Saccharomyces cerevisiae S288C: one gene and its partners. The gene in region 2 interacts genetically with the main gene of each other region. Each region holds a gene or a part of one and is shown on either strand. Other genes may lie near its edges.

Region 1 (3,157 bases), on a different chromosome or scaffold from region 2:
ATATTAACGGGACAAATCGTCTATAGGCTCCATATCACCAATGTTACGAGAGTTACGATAGTACCCATTTCTTCATCATTGTCTCTTTTGGAGTTCCCATTAACCGATTTACCCAAAAAGCCCATCCTACCAGGAGGGCATCTAAGGATCAACATTTACCATAGAAATTTTTTAAGGAGGTTTTTCTCCCATTTGATACCCTTCCAACATCCTTTTACTATTGCTAGTATTCCAAGTGATAATTTGGTCAGGTTAATTATTAGAAACGGGCATTTTCCATTGCGTACAAATGAAAAGTATTACATTACAGGGGCTTTTGAACCTGAGTTGAGTTTCATTTCTAAACCTACTGTTCCTTTTAATATTACCACGAAATCTTCCAAGAATCCATTTCGAAACAATTCTTCTGCACTAATAAATTCGCCTTTAAATTTTCTAATTAAAGCGCAAAGAGTGTTTATGTGTGTTGGAGGTTCAGGAATTTCCTTTGGCTTACCACTACTTCGTATTCTAAACTTCAACGGTGTAAACGTTAGGCTCCTTTGGGTTTCTAGAGATTATAAGGATCTGGAAGTATTGAACCACTTCAAAAACAATTTTGAAGGTATGGAGATATATATTAGTGGCACCGAAGGCAACGAACAGGACATAGAAATTGATTATATTGACTATCATGACTGCGCTGCTGATATTAATGATGAAGTCAGGAGTATTTCTTCGAGCGGCCGAGTTTCAGAACTGGGAGATAATTCCATGTTATCAGATGGAAATCCCCAACCTACGGAGCCCAATGAGAACACAGCCCTTCTAAGTAAGAAATCTACCTTGAGAAACCATCACCCACCAAAAACAAGTGATATACCTGACATCAATGCTGATGACGAGATAGATTTTACATATGCTTTTAGCAGATCCAAATCAAGGAAAAATACTGCACAAGGAACTCTAACTACACATTCTTCGTTTAACGGATCGAGCGTTTTCAGACAACCAAAGATCATTGAGCCACCTGCCCAAGATCCTTGTTTAGAGGCGGCGCCTAAAAAGATCAGAATTCCCGCAGGTGTTAAAGTGTTCTTTGGCAGGCCTACACTTGGAGATAAGGATTATGAATGGTGTCTGCAAACCGAATGTGATGCAGAGACGGATTCTATTCAATGTTGCAGGTGGGCGAATCAAGGCAGAGACCATGCTGAATATTTGTCACAAGTATGGGTTCTCGCTGCAGGCCCTAGAGGCTTAATTGAAAGCACCAAAAGATGGGCGACAGATGGTGGTTTACACTTTCACGGAGAAAGTTTTGCATTATAAGAGTTGCAAGTTGGCTATTAGTTTATGAGGCTTGGAAAATTCACGTATTTGATGGTGGCATATCTATAATGTCCCGTTTTGCTCTTTAATCTTACTGTCAAAAAAGGGCCCTATGTACGATCTTTTCTAACTGATTTTTTCCGAGAAAAGTTCCGCAGGCTGATTTAGTTTTTTTCTGGTGGTTGTCAAGCCTCTCTCCACTTGGTGATAGTTGCGAAAAATGACAGCGGATATTAATGGATATTAGCGGGAATAAGCACATTTCCATATTGATTATTTGTATGTCTAGCAACTTATAAGATGAATTATAAAAGGCATATAAGTTCTTCTTGGTACTGAATACATGACACTCTCACTACTGTACTAGAGACTTATTGTCGATAAAAGAACTCAACTGCCTCAATAGGAATTTTTTTACTAAAGCAATCACTGATTATGAAGGTTTTTATGCATACAATCCTCACAAAGGTGCAGCGATTGCATTTGTCGTTCTGTTTGGCATTTTAATCCTTTCTGCCTTGGTGCAGATCATAATGGCAACACACACGAGCAAGAGACGTATTCATCGCTGGGAAAACAATGAGTTGTCAGAGGAAAATTCCACAATAATATACTTTCCTGCCCGCGGTTTGATGTGGACACATTTTCCTTTCGTTTTAGGGATTTGTTTAGAGTTCGTGGGTTATGTGTTGAAAATAGTCTTTATCAATAGCCCCTCGATTTCGACTTTCATTGCTCAATCGGTGCTTCTATTGATAGCACCTTCACTTTACGCCCTTAGTATTTTTATGTTGTTCAGCAAAATGGCACGTCTAATTCTTATGGAGGCATATATGTTAATTCCTGCGAAATTTAGTACAGTTTCTTTCGTAGTGGCAGATATGATTGGGCGTGTCCTACAGGCTGTAGGAGGTGGGTTGTTATCCTCATGGAACAGCAGGAATACTGGGCGTATCCTAATTATTGTGGGTCTTTTCATTCAGATATTTTGTTATACCTTTTTAACGTTCAGTCAACTTTTTCTTCACTATAAAATGAAGGCAACGCCTAGTAAAATTGTGCGGGATAGTAATGAATGGTTCCAGTACAATTTTATACTTTTAGCTGGGATATTGCTGGTTAATGGTAGAACCATTGTCAGAGTAGTACAATTTCTAATGGGCTTACAAAGCTATATAGGTCAGCACGAATGGTGCCTTTACGTTTTCGATACAGTTCTAATGTTTTTACTACCTTTGATTTTCCTAGCAACCTTTCGCGCAAGAAATTTGTTCAAGCTGCAGGATAAATCTGTCAATATTCAATTAAACAAATTATTAGACAAGGAATCTGTGTCTGAAGATTAAGTAGTCAAAAATTTATTAATTAAATAGTTGGATAATATTTGTGCTGGGCATTAGAAGTCAATCTTGTCTTTTCCTTTATATGGTGCAAAGATTATCATGGTTAACGAATCTATTTTTTTTCGTGTCGTTTTTGTTTTTGTTTTTGTTTTTGTTTTGTCTGCTTGACACTCCATAGGAAGAGTAAATGAAGAACCTACCAGACCTAGGGACCAAATAGCATTACTAAACTACAAAGAAACAGCTATCTTTACAGTGTAAAGTATTTTTGAGTTTTTATTAAAGAGTTTGAAGTTGACTATGTCAGGAGAAGAAGAAGTAGATTATACAACGTTACCCCTAGAAGAGCGATTAACGTACAAGTTATGGAAGGCACGTTTAGAAGCTTATAAGGAGTTAAACCAGCTTTTTAGAAACTCCGTTGGCGACATCAGTAGGGATGACAACATACAAATTTACTGGAGGGATCCTACATTATTTGCACAATATATAACTGATTCTAA
Region 2 (6,454 bases):
ATTGAACGTATGTAGAACAGATTAAACAATAGCAAAACGACCACAATCAAGTATAAGAACAACCATGTTTCCATGGTGACCTTGAGACCTTGCTGCTCTGCAATTGCGGGAGCCGTAACAACCGCTTCTCTTGGTTGTTCAAGGTCAACCTCTTTCAACTTATTTTTTACTTCTTTATCATCTTGCTCCTCTTCCTCCTTGCTGATAGTAATTTGGCACTCTTCGACATTGTTCTTGATGAACTTGGAAAGAATACGCTCCATTAATTGCGCAGCCTCCAATTGACCATTCTTGCATCCATTTTCAACCATACCTTTGATCCAACTGGAACCAGTCCATTCCACCCAAAAGGATACCCGTAACAGACACGTTATTTCGTCATTCCAACGGATTAGATACCTTGTCTTAGTTGAGAAACTACCACCACTGGGCACGTTCGGAGTGCGTATGCTACTGATAACCTCATAGTAAGTATCAGGATCTTTTCTCTTTATTACCTCAGCAACATAACATGTCGTGGACTTGGGCCCCGCAGGAAAGTGCAATGCTTTCTCGTATGAATACTCACGCTTCAAAGTCATGGAAGATCCGTCAATGCTCGTGAAATTTGGAATAGTGGTAATTTGTGAACCTTCTTGACCCCGTAAAAAATCTAGAAGAAATTCGTTTTGCTCTGAGTTGAACATGATCTCAAAAAGTATACCAGGTGCACAATCGAATGGTAACTCCTTGAGAACAAACTCGTTATTGGCCATAGGTTCAGCCGGAAAGCTTGTTGAATGATGATATATTGGACCATCATACTGATACGAGGAATCGGCACGCAGTTTATACGCTTTCTCTTTTTCTTTATCCGGCGAGGAACTCGTACTATTGGGGGTAGTCTCATTTGTAGAGATATTTTCATCGTCATTTTCATTAGTGTCATTATCATTAGCGTCTTTATCATTGTTTTCCTCATCGATGGAGTTTATTGCATCATCAATCTCTTTGCCATTTCCTGACTTTTCTGCTTTAGTATTGATGTTTTCGCTGGCCATGTCCTTCTGCAACAAGGTTCTTGACCACACTTCTTTCATTAATCCAAATGCAGCATCCCTGGATATAAAACCATTAAAGAGAGTTTTGCCCATCTTTGTTTCGATGGATATTGCGCTGGGGAACAACCCAGCAGCAGAAGTTTTTTCCATAAACGTGACATCTTCGAACGCAATCAGTACTTTAGCAATCCAACCAAGAACATTGGAGTTGAAGCAGAGATGCGTTTCTGTTATGTATAGTTTCCCCTGGTAAAGCAGCTCTCTATTCAGCCCACAATTAAAATCATCCAGTAGTCTGTCATCTTTAGGAACGGACTTGAATGTCTCATGAAAGTCTTTATTTCTTTGCTCAGACGCATAGTGATAAGGTGTGTCCATGTAACGTTCTTCCACGAATCGTCTATGATCGTAATTGTCTTCTTTCATTTGGGAAGGAGTGAGTCTTGTCTTGACCTCATCAGGCTTTTCCACCTGTTGCAAGGGAGAGCCTATTTCAGCAATTGTGGCATTACTGATACGGCGGCTTGATCTTCTTTTGGACCCCATGGAAGGCTCCCTTCTATGTGATATAATGCTTGGTTGCGAAACTGGCGAAGTTGGCGTAGTTGATCTAGAAACTGGGGATGGCACGTTTGACTTAAACGAAGAGATCATTCCACTGAAGAACGAGGACGTCGAAGAAGTCCTTGATTGATCGTGCTTGATCTCTGTAGGGTGTTCATCGGCGGCACTTTGGTTTGTAATCACTACTAAATTCTTGCGTACGTCGTTGGTCTCTGTATTTAGGGGCACTTCTTGCAGTGACTCAGCTTCAGTATCGCCGGCATTGTCATTGTTACTTGCATGCTCAAAGGGGGGACCCAATTGTTTCACAGAATCAGTACTGTCCTCATTATCTGATACGGGTTCCCAGTTATCTACATCCGACATCACCACTAATCTTTTTGTGTAGTTGCCTTCTTCACCCTTTTCTCAGATAGCGAAATGGTTGAGTGTTTTAATATAATTGTCAAGATGCTTTATGAAAAAGGGTGGGAGAAACAAGTCCCCCTGCTCAGCGATACGCGATCTCTCTGATCTCAGACATAAAGCAAACATTCTATCATGAGTGACATTGAGGATGACGGTAATTGGTAATATCTGACCTTCTGACCTCCACTCAACACAATGCAGAAAGCTATCAAATGTTTTGAACCAAACATGAAAGAGATTCAGAAAGTTGCCAAGCCAACGTGATGTCACAGGTCAAAGTTTAAGTGAAGGCTATTGGAATCTGCGGATCAGACATTCACTACTACACGGATGGCCAGGTCAGCGTAAAGTAACCTGGGAAGCCCATGACTTTGGGCCACGAATCCAACGGTGCTGTTCTTGAAATTGAAGTATCTCAAACTACTGTAAAGCGGGTGATGCAGTAAGCATATAGCCCTCATACCCAAATAGGTTTACCAAAGAGTTTCTGTGAGGCCATTATAGTTTGCAGCTCAACATACCATTTGCTGCATCACTGACCGTGACGGCACCCTTTGTCAAGAGTTCGTGGTTAACGTCGACTGCGTTTACTGATTACCGTTACAGTGAATTTCTAGCAAGAGTCCTCTGTAGATGCCACTATTTGTCGCTCTCCATGTAGTAAGGCCGTCCTAGCTGAAGTGTGGGGAGTAAGCTGTAGTTATAGGTGCTGGAACAATTGATCTGCTGGCGGGTGCGGTACTCAGAGGGTTTGGTGTTCATGAGTACACATGATTCCAAGAAAGAGCAAAATGGACAGTTTATAAACGCTATGAAGAACTGCTATAATCAGAAAAAAAGGAAGCCTGATGGATTCGAGTCCTCAGGTACTCAAAAGAGCGTTGAGAATATGCTAAAATGTGTCAAGAACGGTGGAACAGTTAAGTAGGTTGATATCCACCCCTCGAATGAAAATGTGGGGACCCTCCCAACGAGATTCCTTCAGAGAGATTACATATAAAGTGAAATTCAAGTATGACGATGGTGACTACTCCTTGGCCATTGATTTGATGTCTAGGGATTGTATTAATGTCTATGAGTTGATTACCGATAGGCTACTGGTTGATTTCCTTTCAAAAAAGCTGCTCAAGCTAAGATAGGTAAGGTGTTTATAGAATTTATCGAACTGTATCTAAATATTTTTAATATTCTTGTTTTATTACTTTGTGGCTTTTGTATTCAGTCTGCACCCTGTTTCGCCATCGATTCTTATAATACATACATTTTTATATAAGATCACAGAAAATACGAAGACGTAAAAAAAGAGTTCCGAATGAAAGAAGAAAGAATCAAGCACAGGAAGACAAGAAACGATGTTGTTCTACTCGTTCGTGTGGTCTGTACTGGCCGCTAGTGTTGCTTTGGCAAAGACACATAAGTTAAACTATACCGCTTCTTGGGTAACTGCCAATCCTGATGGATTGCATGAAAAAAGGATGATTGGTTTTAATGGCGAATGGCCACTTCCAGATATCCATGTTGAAAAAGGAGATCGTGTTGAGCTTTATTTGACTAACGGCTTTCAAGACAATACTGCTACTTCTCTACATTTCCATGGTCTTTTCCAGAATACGAGTTTGGGGAACCAGCTTCAAATGGATGGTCCTTCTATGGTGACACAATGTCCCATCGTTCCGGGACAAACATACCTGTACAACTTCACTGTCCCAGAGCAGGTAGGAACGTTCTGGTACCATGCACACATGGGTGCCCAGTACGGTGACGGTATGAGGGGTGCATTTATCATCCACGATCCGGAGGAGCCCTTCGAATATGATCATGAACGAGTCATCACTCTATCGGACCATTATCACGAAAATTATAAAACGGTTACCAAAGAGTTTCTGTCAAGATATAATCCAACCGGTGCTGAACCTATTCCTCAAAATATTCTTTTTAATAATACGATGAATGTAACTTTAGATTTTACACCCGGTGAAACGTATCTCTTCAGGTTCTTGAACGTTGGGCTGTTTGTATCCCAGTATATCATTCTTGAGGATCATGAAATGAGTATAGTAGAGGTGGACGGTGTTTACGTAAAGCCAAACTTTACTGATTCGATATATCTTTCTGCGGGGCAAAGAATGAGTGTGTTGATTAAAGCTAAAGATAAAATGCCTACAAGAAACTACGCTATGATGCAAATAATGGATGAGACGATGCTTGATGTTGTCCCACCTGAGTTACAACTCAACCAAACTATCCAAATGAGGTATGGCCACTCGTTGCCGGAGGCACGCGCATTGAACATTGAAGATTGTGACTTGGACCGCGCCACGAATGACTTTTACCTAGAACCTCTGATTGAGAGAGACCTACTTGCTCACTATGACCACCAAATTGTCATGGATGTAAGAATGGTCAACTTGGGTGATGGTGTGAAGTATGCATTTTTCAATAATATCACTTACGTCACACCAAAGGTGCCTACTTTGACAACGTTGCTTACCTCAGGAAAGCTTGCGTCAGATCCTAGAATTTATGGTGATAATATCAATGCGCAGTTATTGAAACATAATGATATCATAGAGGTTGTTCTAAACAATTATGATTCTGGCAGACATCCATTCCATTTGCACGGTCATAATTTCCAAATAGTCCAAAAGTCGCCAGGGTTCCATGTTGATGAAGCTTATGACGAATCTGAGCAAGATGAAATGACCGTCCCTTATAACGAATCTGCGCCATTACAACCGTTCCCTGAGAGGCCGATGGTGAGAGATACAGTGGTTCTTGAACCTAGTGGACATGTTGTCCTGAGATTTAGAGCTGACAACCCTGGTGTCTGGTATTTCCATTGTCATGTAGATTGGCACTTACAACAAGGTTTGGCTTCGGTCTTTATTGAGGCACCCGTTTTACTTCAGGAAAGGGAAAAGCTTAATGAGAACTATCTGGATATATGCAAAGCCGCTGATATTCCGGTAGTTGGTAATGCTGCAGGTCATTCGAATGATTGGTTTGACTTAAAAGGATTACCAAGACAACCTGAGCCACTACCAAAGGGATTTACTACTGAAGGATATTTGGCATTGATTATTTCAACCATTATCGGTGTCTGGGGCCTATATTCCATTGCTCAGTATGGTATTGGCGAGGTTATCCCTAACGATGAGAAGGTGTACCACACGTTAAGGGAAATCTTGGCTGAAAATGAAATAGAGGTTTCTCGCGGCTAATTAAACAAGAAAATATAAAAGAAAAATGAAAGAAGTTTATATTCATATTGATGATTTGCAATCCTAAAAAAAATGTAGCACTGTAAATACTGCTTACTATTGAGTATTTTCATTTTGTTCATTCCATTCCCTATATAATATTCATACGTAATCAAATCTATTGCTTTTTTTTTCTCTTTTATTTCGTTGTTTTAGCTCTGACGTTGTGACGCTCAGCCAAGAACGTCACAAAAAAAGGATGAAAATCAAAAAACAAAATATTCAATAAGTGTAATATGAGAAGAGAAAAAAGAAAGAACAAGTACAGTTTCTAACATTATACTTTAAAAATTATTAAGCACAATGACAGCAATGAAAGCTATTGTCTGGAGACTTCCCAAGATGCCGAAAATCAAAATTACAAAAACTTATGAAGTTACGAAAATTACGGCGATATTGACACTAGTAGGATTTATAATGGGCCTTGAGGTGCCGTCATTGGCAACTTTTCTCACAAACAAAACGTTTAATGAGTACTTCAAGTATCCAACTCCTTTACAACAAGGTTTACTCATGGGGTCCACCCCCCTGGGTGGTATCATGGGATGTTTTATTTGCTGCATAATGAATGATAGATTCAGTAGAATATATCAATTTCAATCGGGAATAATAATATGGAATATTGTTACGTTATTGAACTTTTGTATTTGGGATATATTAGGTTTACTAATTTGCCGGATGATCAAGGGTATGATCCTTGGGAACTTTTCAATTTTAGTAGCATCCTACGCAAATGAAGTTATCCCCCGCGGCAAGCGTGGAAGTACGATGAGCTATATTCAATTGTGTTTAACCATTGGAATTCTTGTTATGCATTATTTGTGCATTGCATTAAGTCTATGGGATTCTCATTTTGCGTTCCGTATAGCGTGGTGCATAGGAATCATTCCTGGATTACTGTTCTGGATGGCTAGCTACGCTCTACCTGAATCTTATCACTGGCTAGTACTACATGGGAAGATGAGTGAAGCTCAGGAAATTCAGCACAATTTAGCCAAAAAGTTTAATGAAAGCCAGCCAAGGGATGCAGTCCCTGAGATGAGTAAGATCGAATTAGCAGGAGATTTTTGGATTGGAGTTAATGATTTGGACTTCTCCAAAAAATTACCTCGGGGTTCGTTTAAGCCTTTGATTCTTGGAATGACTTTACAGTTATTGGTTCAATTTAGCGGTATAAACATT
Region 3 (3,764 bases), on a different chromosome or scaffold from region 2:
GTTTGCATTTTCAGGGTTCGTATCATGACTGTTTGGGTCTATTCTTTCTTCATTTCCAGATACGTTGCTAGACGACGTTTCTGCTGCGTTTTGTTCATTGTCTGCAGGCAAGTCTGTATTTTCCTTTTCTTCGTTCTTTTTCTTGTTTAAACCAAAAAATCTGACCATCGGTATATCGAGTTTACACCAGTACTATGTACATGCAAAAAGAAAGGAGGATATCTAGTATGTTTATTCAACCTTTATTGTATATTTACGTTTTCTGTACTGTATAATTTCATTTTCGAATCTTACTTTTTTTTTTTTACTCAAAAATACTTCCGCCGCGGCGTTCTACAATTTCACTTAAAATTAGTTTGGGTAATAATTACATACAATGCTGCAGACGTACATAAAAAACCATCAATGCTACGTTTCCTGATCTTTTCGTACATAAAAGATTGTGCGTATCAGCCACAAGTAAGCTTGGACTTAAGATACACAAAAATAAAAAGTAAAATTTAAAATTTGTCTTCCAAAGGAGAGTCATTGAGCAGTTGATGAAGTTTAGTTGAGCTTTGAGAAAGCTCACCTACTTGGCTTGTACCCTTCTCTTTATATGTACTCACTGCAGGGATGTTTGCTTTAATTTTGGTGACCTTTGTGCCATAGGCCCTAGGCTCCAGCTTGATCAATGTGTGTAGTGGGATTGACATCCAAGGGGATTCCTCCTGTGGAACGTTCATAAAATATGCATATATACACCGAAGTACGGCTTGATGAGTTATAATGAGAACATTTTCTTGGCGCTCCAATTCCATAATGACGGGCTCTAAACGAATCACTACATCTCTGTATGATTCTCCACCACGATATCTGTACTCGTATTTGTCATTATCACGTGCTTTAAAATCTTCAGGATATTCTTTTTCAATTTCCTCATACGTCATTCCGTCACAAACGCCAGCGTCTAATTCATCAAGTGCTTTCCATTGCAGTTTCTTATAGGGAAGATAATTTGCCGTTTGTTGTGTTCTTTTTAAGGTGGAAGTCCACACGGTCAAATTTATTTCTCCTGCGCTCTCTTTCACTAACTGCTCCAATTTTTTAGCGTACTGAAAGCCTCTTTCAGACAGTGATGAATCCCCGCCAATTTTTTTCTCTACGTTATAGATCGATTCGCCGTGACGGGAGAGCCAGATATATTTTGGTTTAGGACGAATATTCATAACATAAAATACAATCCTACTTTCCAAATATGTTCTGATCTTATTAATTACTACTTCTTCAATAATATTGACCAACTTAATGAACGTCATATCCTTATCTTTTTGGGGGTCCAAAGGTTCATAAAATCTTTCATATTGTCTAATTCTTTCCAAAAAATCAGCTTCCGCCACATGAGGTTCAGAGTTTTCATAATCAGGAGATGTGCTACCGATATCCTTAGCGTTATTTATAATCAGTTCATGATCGTTACTCCAGCTCTCTAAAAACATCGGTTGAATATTATTCTTTTCACATATATCTTTAAGCCATTTCCTTCTTTTACGTGTACTATTAGTAGCATCGAAAACTGCCACAGATCCGTCTTCTTTAGTAAAAAAATTAACAATATCTTTTATGGCATTTTGGGCAGCCAATTCTCTGAGTTTAAAATTATCTGTATTTTCGAAGTTAAAAAACTCAGCATCCATTGGGACATTTCCACTCACGTCTCTTCTGTAATTTCCCACATTAAAACACTTGGCTTTTATGGATAACCACGATAAGTACCTGATAATTTTTTGGGAAATAAAAGACTTTCCTCTAGCTGGTAGGCCAACCATTATCACACATACTTTGATATCATTATCGTTGGAAATAGTACTGTACCCCATGTTTCTTGTCTTACTTGATTCGGTTTTTGAGCCCCCTTTCCTTTATTTCTTAACAAACTTGCTTGGTGAATTTAAGAGCGAAGGGAAAGCAAAGATTATATATTAAATTCGTATCCACTGGCCAAAATGATACTTTACCTGATGTAAATGTATGATAAGCTATAGCTCTCTTAGTGGCGCTTTACATGTAGATGTAAGTTAGGGATAAGAATAGATTTGTGAGCGCATTGGCGCGACCCATTTTTTTAACACAGAAAAAAAGTAAAAAATAGAAATTACCCAATTAAGTGTTTTTATAGTAAACAATCCTTGATATCTTAGTTGAAAATAAACTCGAATTATGTACAAGTTTCCTTCCACTTAATCTATGATCCTTCTTTAGGTAAATTTTTATTAGCTTTATTTGTGTAGTTTTTTTTTATCTTGGGCATGTACGAAGAGCAAGTACGTTATTTAACTATACATATATGACTTTGAAACGATCGTCAACTTCTCTTTGACTTTCAATGTACTCACAAGTGCGTCGAAAATGGTGGATTGGGATATACTTCAGTTGGTGCAGTAATTTACTACCTGAAGCAGTTGCTACGACTCCGCGTATTAGCGTGGAAGATCCGTTCAGAGTATTTAATTGAATATACGTACCATCCGATCCTATGGCAACATTTGATTCCTTATCTGTGATTACAGAGCCATCGTCAGCATTACTGCTTGCCTTCACATTATTTTCTCCGGTGATGTGCAAATCACTGATTGAGTTGGTAATCATAGAGGCACTGTTATCTTCTAGTTTTAGCGATTTTAAGTTTGTTTTGATTAGTTCGATCAGACCATTGATGTATTTTATCGATATATGAGTTTCGGACTCATCCCCGTGAATAAAATAGTAGAGGCATCTATTTAATATTTCGACCATTAGCTCACAACTCTGTTCGTTATCCATTATAGAATCCGCCACACGGAGAGACCTTTGTAGACATTCTAACACCCGTTTACCATCTCTGTAGAAGTTGTCTGTGATACCTTCTTCCTCACCAATATTTGAAATTTCCGTTGCCCACCAGAGGTGGGAGCATAAATAAACAGCACGACATTGGTCTTGTTTCTTTAATAATTTGGATCCATGGAGTGTGCATCTGACAATCAAAGAATCATAATAAGCTTCTTTGTAGAGTGATCTTGTCTTTTGTAAAGACTGAGCAATATATATTAAAGCCTGTAACTGAGTCTTTGAATCACTTAGAGACTCTTCAAATATTGTGAAGGCCTGTGAGAAAAAATCATATGAAATTTCGTTTAATTGCAATTGATCAGCTAGAATGGCACATTGTAAATTCAGTTTCAGAATCAGATCTGTGCATGAGTTGTTGCAAGAATTAAAGATATCATTGATACAACGAGAAACAAATTTAAACATTTGCTTTAAAAGATTGGAATAATGGGAAAGTAACGTCTTGTTATCGGGTCTTTTTTTCAAAAGGTACTCTTGTATCATACGGCATTTCCTCATCAGTTTCCAAAAATTTGTGATTATTGCTGGAAAAGTGTATTTAACATTGATGCCACCTTTAATGAACGAAGATTTAATAAGAAGTAATATTTCCAATTGGGCTTCTAAGCTAAATTGAATTTTGTTTTTCATTGTTTGTTTCCGAGAAGTAGTGTTCATTATCCAATGAATCAAATGTGCCAACTTTTCCTGTATTGGGTCCAGTATCCAGGATTCTTCTTCATCATGTCGATTAAAAAACACTTCGTCTACATTTGTATCCGAGGATGCAACATTTGCGGGCGGTCCGCTTCTTGATATTATTAAGGGCTCACAGATTGAAAGCAGGCGCTGAACTTGGAGTTTGTCCTCAATAACTAAATAAGCGGAATGCCCTGGAGGATGCAGTTTCGATT

What was found. Genes that interact genetically often act in the same process or in processes that back each other up.
Region 1: mutations in FET5 (region 2) and YLR046C together harm fitness more than expected from each alone (negative genetic interaction), as found in Saccharomyces cerevisiae (2 studies listed by BioGRID).
Region 3: mutations in FET5 (region 2) and FBP26 together harm fitness more than expected from each alone (negative genetic interaction), as found in Saccharomyces cerevisiae (2 studies listed by BioGRID).

The regions. Positions count from the first base shown.
Region 1 is NC_001144.5:237,501-240,657, reverse strand, and holds YLR046C (uncharacterized protein), read left to right. Parts: upstream 1-1,844; coding exon 1,845-2,657; downstream 2,658-3,157. Other genes in the region: FRE8 (putative ferric-chelate reductase), read left to right, coding at 1-1,311; STU2 (Stu2p), read left to right, coding at 2,955-3,157.
Region 2 is NC_001138.5:45,775-52,228, forward strand, and holds FET5 (ferroxidase FET5), read left to right. Parts: upstream 1-3,364; coding exon 3,365-5,233; downstream 5,234-6,454. Other genes in the region: LAM5 (Lam5p), read right to left, coding at 1-1,970; YFL041W-A (uncharacterized protein), read left to right, coding at 2,960-3,151; YFL040W (uncharacterized protein), read left to right, coding at 5,576-6,454. UniProt on the Saccharomyces cerevisiae protein: Iron transport multicopper oxidase, which is required for Fe(2+) high affinity uptake. May be required to oxidize Fe(2+) and release it from the transporter. Essential component of copper-dependent iron transport.
Region 3 is NC_001142.9:128,785-132,548, forward strand, and holds FBP26 (fructose-2,6-bisphosphatase), read right to left. Parts: upstream 1,860-3,764; coding exon 501-1,859; downstream 1-500. Other genes in the region: SSY5 (Ssy5p), read right to left, coding at 1-168; retromer subunit VPS35, read right to left, coding at 2,317-3,764. UniProt on the Saccharomyces cerevisiae protein: Monofunctional, high-specificity fructose-2,6-bisphosphatase, which releases phosphate from the 2-position of fructose 2,6-bisphosphate. Has no detectable 6-phosphofructo-2-kinase activity.